Linked DNA regions of Elephas maximus indicus. The protein of the gene in region 2 purifies or fractionates together with the protein of the main gene of each other region. This does not show direct contact. Links are inferred from orthologs where the notes say so. Each region holds a gene or a part of one and is shown on either strand. Other genes may lie near its edges.

The links. The genes of interacting proteins can lie anywhere in the genome.
Region 1: the proteins of UPF1 (region 2) and XRN1 purify together in Homo sapiens (affinity purification with western blotting; 4 studies listed by BioGRID and IntAct, with this or other methods). This does not show direct contact. The link is inferred for Elephas maximus indicus from reciprocal best matches to the Homo sapiens genes UPF1 and XRN1.

Annotation. Positions count from the first base shown.
Region 1 is NC_064841.1:17,336,262-17,343,241, forward strand, and holds the start of XRN1 (5'-3' exoribonuclease 1), read left to right. Parts: upstream 1-3,969; 5' UTR 3,970-4,061; coding exon 4,062-4,136; intron 4,137-6,980. Other genes in the region: serine/threonine-protein kinase ATR, read left to right, coding at 1,437-1,539, 2,418-2,591. UniProt on the Homo sapiens protein: Major 5'-3' exoribonuclease involved in mRNA decay. Required for the 5'-3'-processing of the G4 tetraplex-containing DNA and RNA substrates. The kinetic of hydrolysis is faster for G4 RNA tetraplex than for G4 DNA tetraplex and monomeric RNA tetraplex.
Region 2 is NC_064821.1:38,707,663-38,715,246, forward strand, and holds the start of UPF1 (regulator of nonsense transcripts 1), read left to right. Parts: upstream 1-4,563; 5' UTR 4,564-4,825; coding exon 4,826-5,050; intron 5,051-7,584. UniProt on the Homo sapiens protein: RNA-dependent helicase required for nonsense-mediated decay (NMD) of aberrant mRNAs containing premature stop codons and modulates the expression level of normal mRNAs.

The sequences.
Region 1 (6,980 bases), on a different chromosome or scaffold from region 2:
CCACCGGGAGCAAAGGCAAAGGAAGAACACCAAGGTCACACGACAACTAAGAACCCAAGAGACAGAAAGGGCCACTTGAACCAGAGACCTACATTATCCTGAGACCAGAAGAACTAGTTGGTGCCCGGCCACAATCGATGTCTGCCCTGTCAGGGAACACAACAGACAACTCCTGAGGGAGCAGGAGACCCCAAATTCTCATTAAAAGACCACACCTAATGCTATGATTGCGACTAGAGGAATCCCAGAGACAATGCTCCCCAGAACTTCTGATGGCACAGGACAGGAACCATCCCCGAAGACAAATCATCAGGCATGAAAAGGACTGGTCAGTGGGGGGGAGAGAGATACTGATGAAGAGTGAGCTATTTAAATCAGGTGGACACGGGAGAGTGTGTTGGCAACTCTTGACTGGAGGGGGGATGGGAAGATAGAGAGAGAGGGAAGATGGTAAAATTGGCACGAAACGAGAGACTGTAAGGGCTGACTCAATAGGGGGAGAGCAAGTGGGAGAAGGGAGTAAGATGTATGTAAACCTACATGTGACAGACTGATTGGAATGGTAAATGTTCACTTGAAGCTTAATAAAAATTAAAAAAAAAAAAGGAAATGAGATAATCAGATTTGCATAGTAGAAAAATTGGGTTCCCTGCTTGGACCAGACAGAGGCTAGAAAACTAGTTAGAAGACTGTTTCAGTAACTCAGGAAAAAATGATGGTGCACTGGATGGTAGTGGCACTAAGGATGGAGATAAGTAGAGAGATTCTAAAGAGGTAGAATTGGGTGTTAGAGGAGGAGGCAAGGATGATCACCAGTAAGGATGGAGATAAGTAGAGAGATTCTAAAGAGGTTAGAATTGGGTGTTAGAAGAGGAGGCAAGGATGATCACCAGATTTTTGTCCAGGGCAAGTAGGTGAATGATGTTTTTTACTGATTTGGGGAATACAGGAGAAATAGTAAATTTGGGAAAAGGTAATGAGTTTTGTTTTGGATATAACTGAGTTTGAGATACCTGTAAGACATCCAAGTGGGTGTTTCCCATAAGTAGTTAAATTTGACATTTAGAACTCAGAAGAAAGATCTAGGCTGGGTCTGTATGGTAGCTGTAAGTGTATTATATGGTCATTGAAGACATGGCACTGGATAAAATCCATTCATTCAATATATGTTGATTTACCAAATCACACTAAGCATTTAGAAATGGCACATAGAACTGATCTGACTCTACTCTCCACAGACCACCTCTGCCCCTCCTTTGTTTTGCACCTCTGTACCCTTCTCTTGCCCTCTCCTCACCCCTAAAACACTAACTTTACATATGTTACTGAAAAGGTAGTAGTATTTTTTGTAACAGTATTATCATTAGCTTCTAATTCTTTTAAGATTTCTTTTTGCAAATATTGTATTATTACCTTAATATCTGTTACAATTTTAGTGTCTTAAAGACTTTTCTACATGATCCTCTTGTGGAGTGGAGTAAACCAGTGAAAGGGAATTCCAAAGCACATAATGAAACCGGGGAAGTTGTCAATGAAAAGGTTGGTAGAAGGTGTAGCTTGTTTCTACAAATGAGAACTGATTCTAAATTCTGCCAGTGACTAGCCAGTGATTACCCTGAAATCTAGTTATGTGTTATGACAGTGCCCTAATTTTCCTTATTGTCATTACTATTAACATTATTAGCATTTGTGTGACAAAACACTTCATACTTATTTAACCATAAACAATTGACAGTTACGGAAAAACTTGAGTACAAATTGCTTGAATTTATAGAGCAAGTCTCAGCTTCAATATGGTGACACCAAGTATCCCACAATCCACCTTGACAGATGTAGCCCTTCCCTTATTACTAGTGTTAGTCAAAACCTCAAAGTTTGCAGGTAATTAGCTATTTTTAATAAGCTAGACATATATCGAGGATAATTTTTCTAATGTCTCTCCCACTCTTAGATTCTGATAAGCTTTCTCAGTTGAGAGAAATGTGTAGAATTCCAAGTAGCTCACTTAGAACTTCTATGTGCATGAACCAACATAATCTAAATATTAGGCATTAGAGTATCATTGCTATTAGAATATCCATTCAAACGTGTACGTTACATACACTTTCAAAGCAGATTTTTAAAATTATTATTTTTCTAGAATTGTAATGTGGAAGGAATTTCCTGATATTTCACATAGTCCAGAAAAATGTCCAAGCAGTTGATGTTGGATCAACATTGCCAGCCTTGAAAGCAATATCTTAAGTTATTTTGTTTCATTTCTTCCTTTTTCTGTATTTTCCCTAACAAAAGGGGTAGTGATCATTAAAATGGCATTAACATTTCTTACAAAACAATAAAGGCAGCAATTCCAAGTTATTAACATCCATATGTTATTATGCTCTTAGCCCTTATCATTTTCTGTTTCTTCCTTTTAGGCCAAGACCCATGTTCTTGACATTGAGCAGCGATTACAAGGTGTAATCAAGACTCATAACAGAGTGACAGGGCTGCCATTATCTATTGAAGGACATGTGCATTACCTTATACAAGAAGCTACTGACGAAAACTTACTATGCCAAATGTATCTTGGCTGGACCCCTTATATGTGAAATGAAATTATTTCAAAGAATATGTTAGTAATGTAAGATTATTGCATTTGGCACTGGCTGTGGTTGTATCTGTTCAGTTCCAAAGTACAAGATAAGTTTATGTTCTTAGAGCAGCTATTATTATTTCTCCTTGATTGTTAATAATATTTAAAATAATATATGTTCATTTATTAAGAAATAAACTGCTTTCTTAATACATACTGTGTATTTATAACTGGAAAAATGGAACATCATTTGTTCTTACGGTCTAAAAATGTAATTTTGCAAGAAACAAGCCAACCTACTTTGATTTTACAATTTTCATTGATTTCCTTTTAAAAGTACCAATTAGCATAAGGATTCCTTTGAACAACAACAAAAAGCTTCTATCAATAAATACTGTGGGCAAAGCAGTGTGCTAGACTGGTGCACAGAGGAACTGCCCTCCAGGAATTGACAGTCTAGTAAGAGAGAGATGAACATAAATAGCACGTATTTACGTTCACTTACTAGAACTCTGGTTTTGGTATGATTGAAAGTCTGACAGGGAAAAAACATGCTAAGCCAAGAAGCTGAATGTGAAAACTAAAGTTTCTTTGATTTTAAAAATGCTGCCATTCGCTAGGTGTAACAGAATGCAGAGTCCAGTGATTATGGCAGGCAGCAATACTTAAGAGATTTCTAAAATCTAAAGTTTTTAAATATGGTTTTCTGTGTTTTTGAAGATTTAAAAAAAATAATTCATAATTACAAAGTAATGAGATCATTACGTTCCAATAAATGAAAAACTTAAATTTAGAACAAAAATAGTTTCACGTAAATTCACTTGACATAATCCTGCCTTTTGTAAGGTCGGAAGCCTAATCGGGAAAAAACATGGCACCAAGGGGCACGAATGTGAAAACTAAACATTTATAATTTCCTATCGAGGGCCTAGCTGGGAAACTTTTCCTCAAAACAATTTGGGGAACAAGTATTAAAGAAAAAATTTTGTTATAAGTTTACATACCTAAAAGAAAATAATTTTCCTTCGCCAAAGAAACAACAATCTAAACCAAGTAAATCACCAGACCTTTCCAAATCTGTGTTGAAAAACACTGAGATTAGCAATCCCAGGAGCTGGAAGCAGCTGAACAAAAATCAGCGTTCAATACCCTTCCAGCAGTCTCGTGAGGTTTTCATACCACGTATAAACCCGGTGGAGCCTAGCTCCGGCAACTGGCATCTTCAGAACGCTGTTTAACACGCACGTACGGCTCGGCGCCCAAACGTAAGCACCAGCGAGCGCTGCGGCGCGAGTGGAAGGCGGCGGGTCCCGCCCCCGGGATGCCGCCTCGGATCCGGCCGCTCTAGGGCCCGGCGGGCGCGCTCTATGGTCGGGCGGGCGGTGTGTTGTCATCGGCGGAGCGACGGCCGGAGGCGGTGGCGTCGGCCCCGGCGGGGCGTTTGGTTTCGGTTTGGCCCTGACTGGAATTGGTATTGACGGTCGAAATGGGAGTCCCCAAGTTTTACCGATGGATCTCGGAGCGGTATCCCTGCCTCAGCGAAGTGGTGAAAGAGCATCAGGTGGGTGAGCGAGGGGCCGTGGCCCCGAAGGCCGGTGACCGCGGGGGGCTCCGCGGCCCTCTCCCCACCAGCCTTTCTGCCCGCCGTCTGCGGATGAGTGGCGAGGGGAGCGGCGGTGGAAGGTTTGAGGACGGCCGACGGATCCGAATGGGGGCGAAGACGCGGGTGGTATTCGCGTGGGCACTGCCGCGGGGGTCACGGCAGCTTGACAGCTCTCCTGCCGGGCAGGGCCTTCCGCGACTCTGAAATTAAGTCGGGGAAGGAAAGGTTTCAGTGAGTTCGCTTTCTTCCCCGAGGAGGTGCAGGTCGCCCTTTCCTTTATAGGGGTTGCCAGGCGGAGTGGGTGTCCCGCGACATCCCCCCTCCAGCTCTCCCTGCCCGCCTCTAAGAACCGATCAAGTGCAGACAATAAACCGCGCTTCCGCCGTCGGAGCACCTTGTTTACTTCACGCTCCAGAACTCGGTGCCACCGCGCCCCAGCGCCTGGACTTTGACGTGGCCCATCGTTCATGTTTATGATGCCTTTTGTTACTCGTTTTCTGTTGCCCTAAAGACAGTACCAACCCTTTATTGCCAAACAAACAAAAAAACATTTGGGCAGGGAATTATTTAGAGGCTTCATAATGTGTGTGTGTTGGGGGAAGGGGAGAGAGGGAGGCGGGTTGATACAGCTTCACTGCTAGTAATGTCAGTAATATTTGGTACGTGATGACCCCAGGGAAACGTTCATGGTAGATTTCAAAACAGTAGTTCACATATTGGAACTGTGACAAGACAATAGAAGGCAGTCACTTATGAGATAAACTGGCCTTTGGATGATACTTCAGTATTCGACACATTTAATGAATTTTGGTATCGCCTTCGTTTTATATTTTACCGAAAATAGTGTTTTGAAATTTCTGTAGCTGGTTGAATTAGTTGTGATGGATAGCATTATATTAATATTGGGGAAAAATAATGCAGTGAACGACATCGTGCTGTTCATTAAATCATGGTTTATCTTTTTAAAAAGTACTGAAAGCCTGAAGGTAGGGTTAAACTTCTGGAAAGAATTCTTTTTCGGATTCACATCTGATGTATAAGGAAAAATTTACAACGATTCTAAAAGGCAAGCTTATCTTTAGTTTATTTGGAACATAGGTTAAGTTGGATTTACAAAGGCTTTTGTTTCCGGAGAGGAGGGTAAAAAAAGAATACAAGTACATTAGGGAAAATGGAGACAACTAAATATGGCATTTCTGGATCCCTCATTCAACAAACATTTGAGTATCTTCTGTGCATCACTCACTTTATCTCTGATGTGAACAAATAAGCTGTTGCTTGGGATGTCTTGATAATATATAATTCATTACTACTTTTATGCTGTACTCTTCAGCATAAAACTTGGTGCAAGTATCTTGGATTCTCTCAATTCTGAGGAATTTGATAACTGAAGAACAAAAATAGTCTCTTTAAGGCAATTTCATGACATAGACACTATAAAAGCTTTAATGAAGATAGAAACTGGGAGTAGGTTTTATTTTATTTTGTTTAATTTTTAATTATTCCACTGTAAGTAAATTTTAAAACTTGGTTGATCAAAGCAATGTCTTTCAAAGTGTTTGATTCTTGTAGTTAACAACAGCAAAAAAGACAAATGTTATAAAGCGATACCAGCTGCGCTCTCAAGAAGGCCTTGAAAGATAACGCCTTATTTGGCTACAGTGATTCAATAGCTAGTACTAGGGGGAAGAAGTCAGGGGAAGGAGATTTTAGGAAAATAGTGGCAGCAGCATTGGTTTTCAGTCTCTCTGAATCTTCATGTAAAAGCAGAAAGAACAAATAGCAAAATTAAAAGTACATGAAACATTTACAACAAAACCAGTATATCCTGGTGTCCCTGTAAACTCCAAAATACAAATACATAGGGACAAACTAGCAACACCTGTAGGTCTGAATTTTATTAGAATCTGTGTCAGAAAAATAGGGAAGCAGCAATGGGGCAACATCTGATAGATCTGAGAACAGAACTCCAAAATAGCTGAAAGGTGTTCACTGAAAAATACTGCCAGCCAATTTGATGGCAGTAGCTGGAACTAAGGGGTTTTATCCTTTCCAATATTGGTTGACTGAAGGACCCACTGTAAAAAATACCTAGGCAGCTGGAGCAGTGCAGTCCGAACCAAAAAACCAAACCCGTTGCCATCGAGTCATTTCTGACTCATAGCAACCCTATAGGACAGTGTAGGACTGCCCCCTGTAGCGTTTCCAAGGCTGTAATCTTTATGGAAGCCGGCTGCCATATATTCCTACCGCGGATCAGCTGGTGGGTTCTAACCACTGACCTTTTGTTTAGCAGCTGAGGGCTTAACCACTGCACCACTGAACTCTCAAAACTGACTTGCCAAGGCGCTATTTAAGGCAGTGCCCACCTGAGGAAAAACTGCTGGGGTGGAATAAAATGTGATCAGGAAAAGGACAGTGGAGACAAGAAAAGAAAAGGTCCAGACAAAAGTGGGAGAAGGTTAGAATCAGGAAGTCTTAGAAAGCAAAGCATCATTTTTTTAACACTACTCAAGAAGAACAAAAGAGGGAGCTTTTTGACATTAAAGCTTTCCTGAACCCCTCTTCGTTCTAAAAGTTCAGGGAGATTAAATTCTACTCAGTAGGAAACTGTTGTTAGCTGCCGTCGAAACAGCCCTGACACGTGGCGACCCAATGCACAAGATCGGTCCCTTGTGCTCCAGAGGGTTTTCGTTAGCTGACTTTTCAGAAGTAGACCACCAAGCCTTTCTTCCTAATCTTAGCCTGGAAGCTCTGCTGAAACATGTTCAGCATCACAGCAACACACAAAAGTCCATTGAC
Region 2 (7,584 bases):
AAGGAAGAAGTCCAAGCTGCACTGAAGGCATTGGTGAAAAACAAGGCGCCAGGGATTGATGGAATACCAACTGAGATGTTTCAATGAACAAATGCAGCGCTGGTGTTGCTCACTCATCTTTGTCAAGAAATTTGGAAGTCGGACCTGGCCAAGCGACTTGAAGAGATCCACATTTATGCCTATTCCCAAGAAAGGTGATCCAACCAAATGCAGAAATTATCAAACAATACCATTAATATCATATGCAAGTAAAATTTTGCTGACGATCATTCAAAAGCGGCTGCAGCAGTACATCGACAGGGAACTGCCAGAAATTCAAGCCAGATTCAGAAGAGGATGTGGAACGAAGGATATCATTGCTGATGTCAGATGGATCCTGGCTAAAAGCAGAGAACACTGGAAGGATGTTTACCTGTGTTTTATTGACTCTGCAAAGGCATTCGACTGTGTGGATCAAAATTATGGATAACATTGCGAAGAATGGGAATTCCAGAACACTTAATTGTGCTCATGAGGAACCTGTACATAGATCAAGAGGCAGTTGTTTGAACAGAACAAGGGGATACTGCGTGGATTAAAGTCAGGAAAGCAGTGTGTCAGGGCTGCATTCTTTCACCATACTTATTCAATCTGTATGCTGAGCAAATAATCCAAGAAGCTGGACTGTACGCAGAAGAATGCAGCATCAGGATTGGAGGAAGACTCATTAACAAACTGCGTTATGCAGATAACACAAGATTGCTTGCTCAAAGTGAAGAGGACTTGAAGCACTTACTGATGAAAATCAAAGACCCCAGCCTTCAGTATGGATTACACCTCAACATGAAACAAAAATCCTCACAACTGGACCAATAAGTAGCATCATGATAAACTGAGATAAGATTGAAGTTGTCGAGGATTTCATTTTACTTGGTTTCACAATCAACACCCATGGAAGCGGCAGTCAAGGAATCAAAAGATGCATTGCATTGGGCAAATCTGCTGCAAAAGATCTCTTTAAAGCACTAAAAAGCAAAGATGTCACCTTGAAGGCTAAGGTGCACCTGACCCAAGCCATGGTGTTTTCAATTGCCTCATATGCATGCAAAAGCTGGACAATGAATAAAGAAGACTGAAGAAGAATTGATGCCTTTGAATTTTGGTGTTGGTGAAGAATACTGAATATACAATGGACTGCCAAAAGAACAAACAAATCTGTCTTGGAAGAAGTACGACCAGAATGCTCCTTAGAAGCAAGGATGGTGACACTAAGTCTCACATACTTTGGACATGCTATCAGGAGGGATCAGTCCCTGGAGAAGGACATCATGCTTGGTAGAAGGTCAGGGAAAAAGAGGAAGACCTTCAACGAGATGGATTGACATAGTGGCTGCAACAATGGGCTCAAGCGTAGCAATGACTATGAGGATAGCGCAGGACCAGGCAGTGTTTCATTCTGTCATACATGGGGTTGCTTGAGTTGGAACTGACTCGATGACTCCTAACAACAACATGATCTGGGGACAGGAGAGGAAGTGTGGTGCTCCAAGTCACTTTACAAATGAGTCAAGTCGCCATACTTGTAGCTGACCTAGGCCTTAAAAGCTCTGAAAGCCTTTTACTGAGCACCTATTGTATGCGGGCATTACTCTCCACGTCGGTAAGACCATTCTGAATAAGGCCAAGCCCTGTCCTCATGGAACTTCCTTCCTAAATACTTCATAATGAGGAGAGTGCATGGTAGCTCAGCTAATCCTCGCCACCATTCTAATGGTGCTTATGTCCCTTTGGTGGCCAAGGAAACCCCAGGCTTGGAGCGGTAAAGTCACTTGTACTCAGTTGTACAGCCAGGAACAGCCAGGCCCAGAGGTCACTCCAGAGCAAGTACTCCCAAGTGCTTTGCTATGTTCTGCCTCTGAATAATAACAACAACAATAACAGTAATAATAGGAGTAATAATAATGCCAGCTGTAGTAGTAGCAGTAATAGAGGTGAGTAGCATCGGCAGTAATAGTTGTGGTAATAGTATCAGTAGTAGCAGTAATAAGAGTATTAAGTGTCAGGGGTGTCACTTGCAGCTACAAATACTATAGTAGTGGTAGTAGAATATGAATAATGGGAGTAATAATATCGTCAGAAGCGGCAGTAGTAGTAATAAGCAAAGTAATAGGGATAATAATAGTGTCAGTGGTAGCACAGTAGTGGTAGGAGTAGTAATAGGAATAACAATAGTGTCGATGGTATTAGTTGCAGCTGTAACCGCCATGTTAGTAGAAGTAATAATAGTATCAGCAGCAGCAGCAATAGGCGTAAAAAGTGTCACGTAGCAGTAGTAGTAATAATAACAGGAGTAACAACAGTGTAGGTAGTAGTAGTAATTGGAATTAACAATGATGTCAGAGACTTTAGTCTCAGCAACAAACACCGCAGTAGTAGTAGCAGTGCTAGTAGTGGTAGTGATGTTGTTGTTGTTAGGTGCTGTCGAGTCGATTCCGACTCACAGCGACCCTGTGCACAACACAATGAAACACTGCCTGGTCCTGTGCCATCCTCACAATTGTTGCTATGCTTGAGCCCACTGTTGCAGCTACTGATCCACCTCTTGAGGGTCTTCCTCTTTTTTGCTGACTTTCTATTTTACCAACCATGATGTCTTTCTCCAGGAACTGATCCCTCTTGACAACATGCCCAAAGTATGTGAGACGTAGTCTCGCCATCCTTACTTCTAAGGAGCATTCTGGCTGCACTTCTTCCGAGACAGGCATGTTCGTTCTTTTGGCAGTCCAGGGTATACTCAATATTCTTCGCCAACACCACAATTCAAAGGCGTCAGTTCTTCTTCAGTCTTCCTTATTCATTGTCCAGCTTTTGCATGCATATGAGGCAACTGAAAACACCATGGCTTGGGTCAGGTGCACCTTAGTCTTCAAGGTGACATCTTTGCTTTTTAACACTTTAAAGAGGTCTTTTACAGCCGATTTGCCCAATGCAACGTGTATTTTAGTTTCTTGACTGCTGCTTCCATGGGTGTTGATGATAGTAATAGGAGTAATGATAGTGTCAGTAGTGGTAGGGGTTGTAATTAAAAAAAAAAAAAACCTCATTGCCGTTGAGTTGATTCTGACTCATAGCAACCCTACAGGAGAGAGTAGAACTGCTCCATAGGGTTTCCAAGGAGTGGCCAGTGGATTCGAACTGTTGACCTTTTGGCTAGCAGCCAAGCTCTTAACCACTGTGCCACTAATGTTAGTAGCAGTAGTAAAGATAGTATTACTAGTAGCAGCAACAACATTGTCAAGTATTAGTGATAATAGGAGTAACAACAGTGTCTGTAATAGCAGTGATGGGAATAACAGTAGCGTCAGGGGCCTCAATTGCAGCAGCAAACACCATAGTATTAGCACTAGTAGTAATGATAGGAGTAATAGCAGTGTCAATTGTAATGTTGTTGTTGTTAGTTGCTGTTGAGTCAATTCTGGCTCACGATGACCCCATATGTGCAGAGCAGAACTGTGCTCCATGGTGTTTTGAAGGCCATTACCTTTCAGAAGCAGATTACCAGGCATTTCTTCCGAGGTGCCTCTGGGTGGGTTCAAGCCACCACCCAGGGAGTCCTCAGTAGTAGTAGTAGAAATTAATAATAGGTCAGTAAGCGTTTTTTTTTTTTTTTTTAAGAAGCAGTAAGAGCCCTGGTGGAGCAGTGGTTATGAGCTCGGCTGCTAACCAAAAGGTCAGCCGTTTGAATCCACCAGCTACTCCTTGGAAACCCTATGGGGCACTTCTACTGTGTCCTGTAGGGTTGCTGAGTCAGAATCGACTTGACGGCAACGGGTTTTGTTTTTTTTTTTTTGGTTTAGCAGCAGTAAAAGGAGTAACAATTATCAGGGGGGTAAGCTGCAGCAGCAAACACCATAGTAATAGCAGTAGTAATAGGACCAATAACAGTGTCAGTAGTAATGGTATTGCTGTTAGTATTAGCAACAGGAGTTAATAATAGTGTCAGGAGTAATGTTAATAATACTAATAATAGGAGTAATACCAATGTCAGTAATAGGAGTAACAAGTGTGAAGGAGTCAGTTGCAGTATCAGCTGACACTGTTTCCGTGGGCCAGACCCAGTGCTAAGGGCTGTAGGAAAACTAGTGTATTCAACGAGCGCGCACCGAGCACCTACTATGACCCAGGCACCCCCATGCAGTCAGGGACCCATTCTACAGATAGGAACACTGAGGCCCAGGAGCTTATCCTGATCACGGGAGGCGTCCCCACTCGCGCAGGAGCGTTCGATCCAGTGCCCAGCCTCCCAGACCCGTCACAGCCTCCGGAGCGGCGCGCCACCTCGGCACCACCGGTCGCCGGGATCCCGCTGAGCAGCAGTTGGGGCGGGGTCACGTCCTCGCGCTGCCGCCGCGACGACAGTTAAAAGCCCCGCCCCCCCGCGCGTGCGCGGTGCGCGTCCCGTCTTCCTGTTCAGCTCCGGGCGTCGGGCGCGGTTGGCGGCGTCCGCGAGGGGCGCGCGCGCCTGCGCCAGAGTCGAGCTCGCGCACGCGCATCTGCGCCGGCATCGGGCTCGCGCACGCGCACTCGGCGGCGGCGGCGGCGGCGGCGGCGACGGCGGCGGTTCCTGCTGGGCTCGAGCGGCAGTCGCGGCGGTGGATTCAGGCGGCCGGCGCAGGGCAAGGCAGAGGCGGCGAGGCGGCGGTTCTCGGCCCGGGTCTAGGCGGCGGTCGTTCGGTTCGGCCCGAGCCGCGGCGTTGGCGGTGCGTGAGGTCTGAGGCCTAGGTTTCGGTGCGGCGGCGGGCTCGAGTGCGGGCGGAGCGGCCAGACCCGCGGCCCCGGCGGCGCCATGAGCGTGGAGGCGTACGGGCCCAGTTCGCAGACGCTCACCTTTCTGGACACCGAGGAGGCCGAGCTATTGGGCGCCGACACGCAGGGCTCCGAGTTCGAATTCACCGACTTCACCCTCCCCAGCCAGACTCAGACGCCCCCGGGCGGCCCCGGAGGATCCGGGGCGGGAGGCGCTGGAGGCCCGGGCGGCGCGGGCGCTGTGGCCGGACAGCTCGACGCGCAGGTGAGCGGCGCATGGCGGGCCGGAAGCGGGCGGCCTCGGCGCCAGAGATCTGCCACCCCCTCACTCCCGGCCTGCCCAGGGTCCCTTCTCCGAACTGGTCTGGTCACCGGCCCCAGGTCCCGACCCTGTTCTGGGTCTTCCCCGGAAGGGTCTAGATCCCTTCCGATATGCCGAGGGTCCCCCTTCCAGCGTGTCGTTTGGCTCCCCTCTCCGAACGAGTCTGAGTCTCTAGCCCTCAGTCCCGGCCCTGCTTGGGGCCCCCCTTCTCTGAACGGGTCCGTGGTGGCCTGCCTGGGGTGCCGTCTTTGGCCTGTTCAGGGTTTCCCCTTTGAACAGGTCTGGGGTCACCTGCCCTGGGCCTTCCCTCCGACCTGCCCTGGGCCTCTTCAGCGAGTCTGGACCCCACCTCTCACCTGCCTCGTCCTCCCCCTGAACGAGTCCAGAGTGACCTGCTCCTTTGGCTGGATCTGGGGTGGTCTGTCCCAGGGTCCCTGGTCCTGCCCAGGGTCCCCCCTGCCTGGGTCTGGGTTTCCTCCGCCCTGCCCCAGGTCCTCTCCGACCTGGGTACTTCTTCCTTCTGAACAAGTCTGGGTGATGTGCCCCATTTCCCTCTGGCCAGTTGGCCTCCCTCCTCCCACCTGTGGCCGCTGCCACCTGGGCACCCCCATTCACACCCACCGATCCGGAGGCTTGCATCCCCCCCCCCCCCGCCCGCCCTGGACGCTCGCAGGTGGAATTCTGGGCTCCTGGAGCAAAAAGGGGATTTTTTGTCTTTGATCTGGAACCCTGCACTGGCTTGCTGTTAAGATTATTCAAGAGGCAGGTTGCGTTTTGTTTTTCCTTCTTGTGTTGCCTGTTGCTGAAACCGACCTGTTATGTAACTCCGTAGGCTTGCCTTGGAAAAGTAGGGTTCGAGTTTTGTTCTCCACTGGGATAGCATCGTGGGTTTTACTGAAATGGGCCTGCCCCGTCAGAAACTTTTTTTCTTTTTAATGATGTCAGTATTTAGCGTGAGGCACTTTGCTGTTTTGAATTTGGGCTTGGGTTGCGAGCAGCACTAGGTGCGGGTACTTCCAGGACCTGTGCCCCTCCCAGGGTTCAGGAATGCTGCTATTGTCTTCATCTTCTGATCCATCCTTTCCCTTCACGGGTACATACCCTGTGTCCCGAGCCTCCCTTCCGTTTACTTACCTAGATTTTCACAGGTGAGCTCAAGGTTCACCTGTCTCAGGTGCTTCCTTGGTGAGCATGGGCAGCTAGGCCTGGGGGAGCCACTGCATCCTCATCCTGAGGAAAGGGGGCTTCTAGTCAGTGAGTCACTCCCGTGGGTAAACCACCCACTTAAGCTTTCTTTTAGCTCCCGGGAACAGCAGAACATATTTGACTCATTCTAACCCCAGATTCCTTGAAATAGGTTTGTTGGGAGGGACATCGGGGAGAACAGGTGTGCAGAGATGTGTGATTTTTTTGGTCCTGTTCATGTTTGGGTGAGCAGGTAGGGGAGGGGAGAGTTTTGCCTGGAGGAGTGAGTGGGAGCCTCAGTTTCTGCAGCTATAAAATGGGGGCAGCAGTTGTATAGTAGTTGTTACTTTTCAGGTCTCTGGCATCTAGACTCAGGTGTGAGTGGGCCAGGTAGTGCTGGCTGTGCCTTCTGCCCCGTGCATTTGCTCGGGAGGCCATGGATAAAGTTCATGATGTTGAGCAGTAGGGCCATGACCCTGAGGGTGGTTGTGAAAGGCAGTCGTTTTGTTGCAAATCCCTTTTTAACCGGAGCTGATATGAAACAGCAAACTCAGGGATGGGCTTGAAGTTCTGTCTGTGATTAATTGCTGGGTGTGTCTTCTTTCAGTTGAAATAATCAATTTATTTTCGTGCACCTGAGCACTGAGCTGTACAAAATGATGAGAGCATTCAAATGCTCTGCTGGCAGTAAACATTGCAGCCAAGCTCGTTGGAGTTCTGTTGACATGAAAAGTTTTTGTCCTTTGTGACATTTAATTAACCCCGATGATGTAAAGTTTTTTATATCCACGCAGACGTGACCCTGCCTACCTGTAGTCTAACTCTCAGTCTTTGGGGAAGGGTAGTGACTTCTGTGTGGGTTGGAGGAGGACCCAAATTGGGGGCAGGGAAGTCTGTGAGTGCAATTGGAGAGTGGAAGGTTGATTGGCTCTTGTGCCAGTTGTTGGTGTGGGTTGCCTAAAGCATTTGGGAAGGGTTTCCCTACTTGTACTCAGGAGTTGGCGAGGGAACCAACTATGTGGTAAGGGCTTCTGCAAAGACCTGGAAAGCTACTTGTTCCACCTTGTGATAATTCACGTATCATACAATTCATCTATTTAAAGGGTATGGTTCAGTGGCTTTTAGTGCGTTCATGGTGTTGTACAGCTACAGTCAGTTTTTGAATATATCCTCCCCCAAAAGAAACCCTGTGCCCATCCGTAGCCACTCCTAATCCCCCTTCCCGGCAACCCCTGGTAGCCACTAATTTACTTTCTGTCTCCGTATTGTGGACATTTTGTGTAAATGGAATC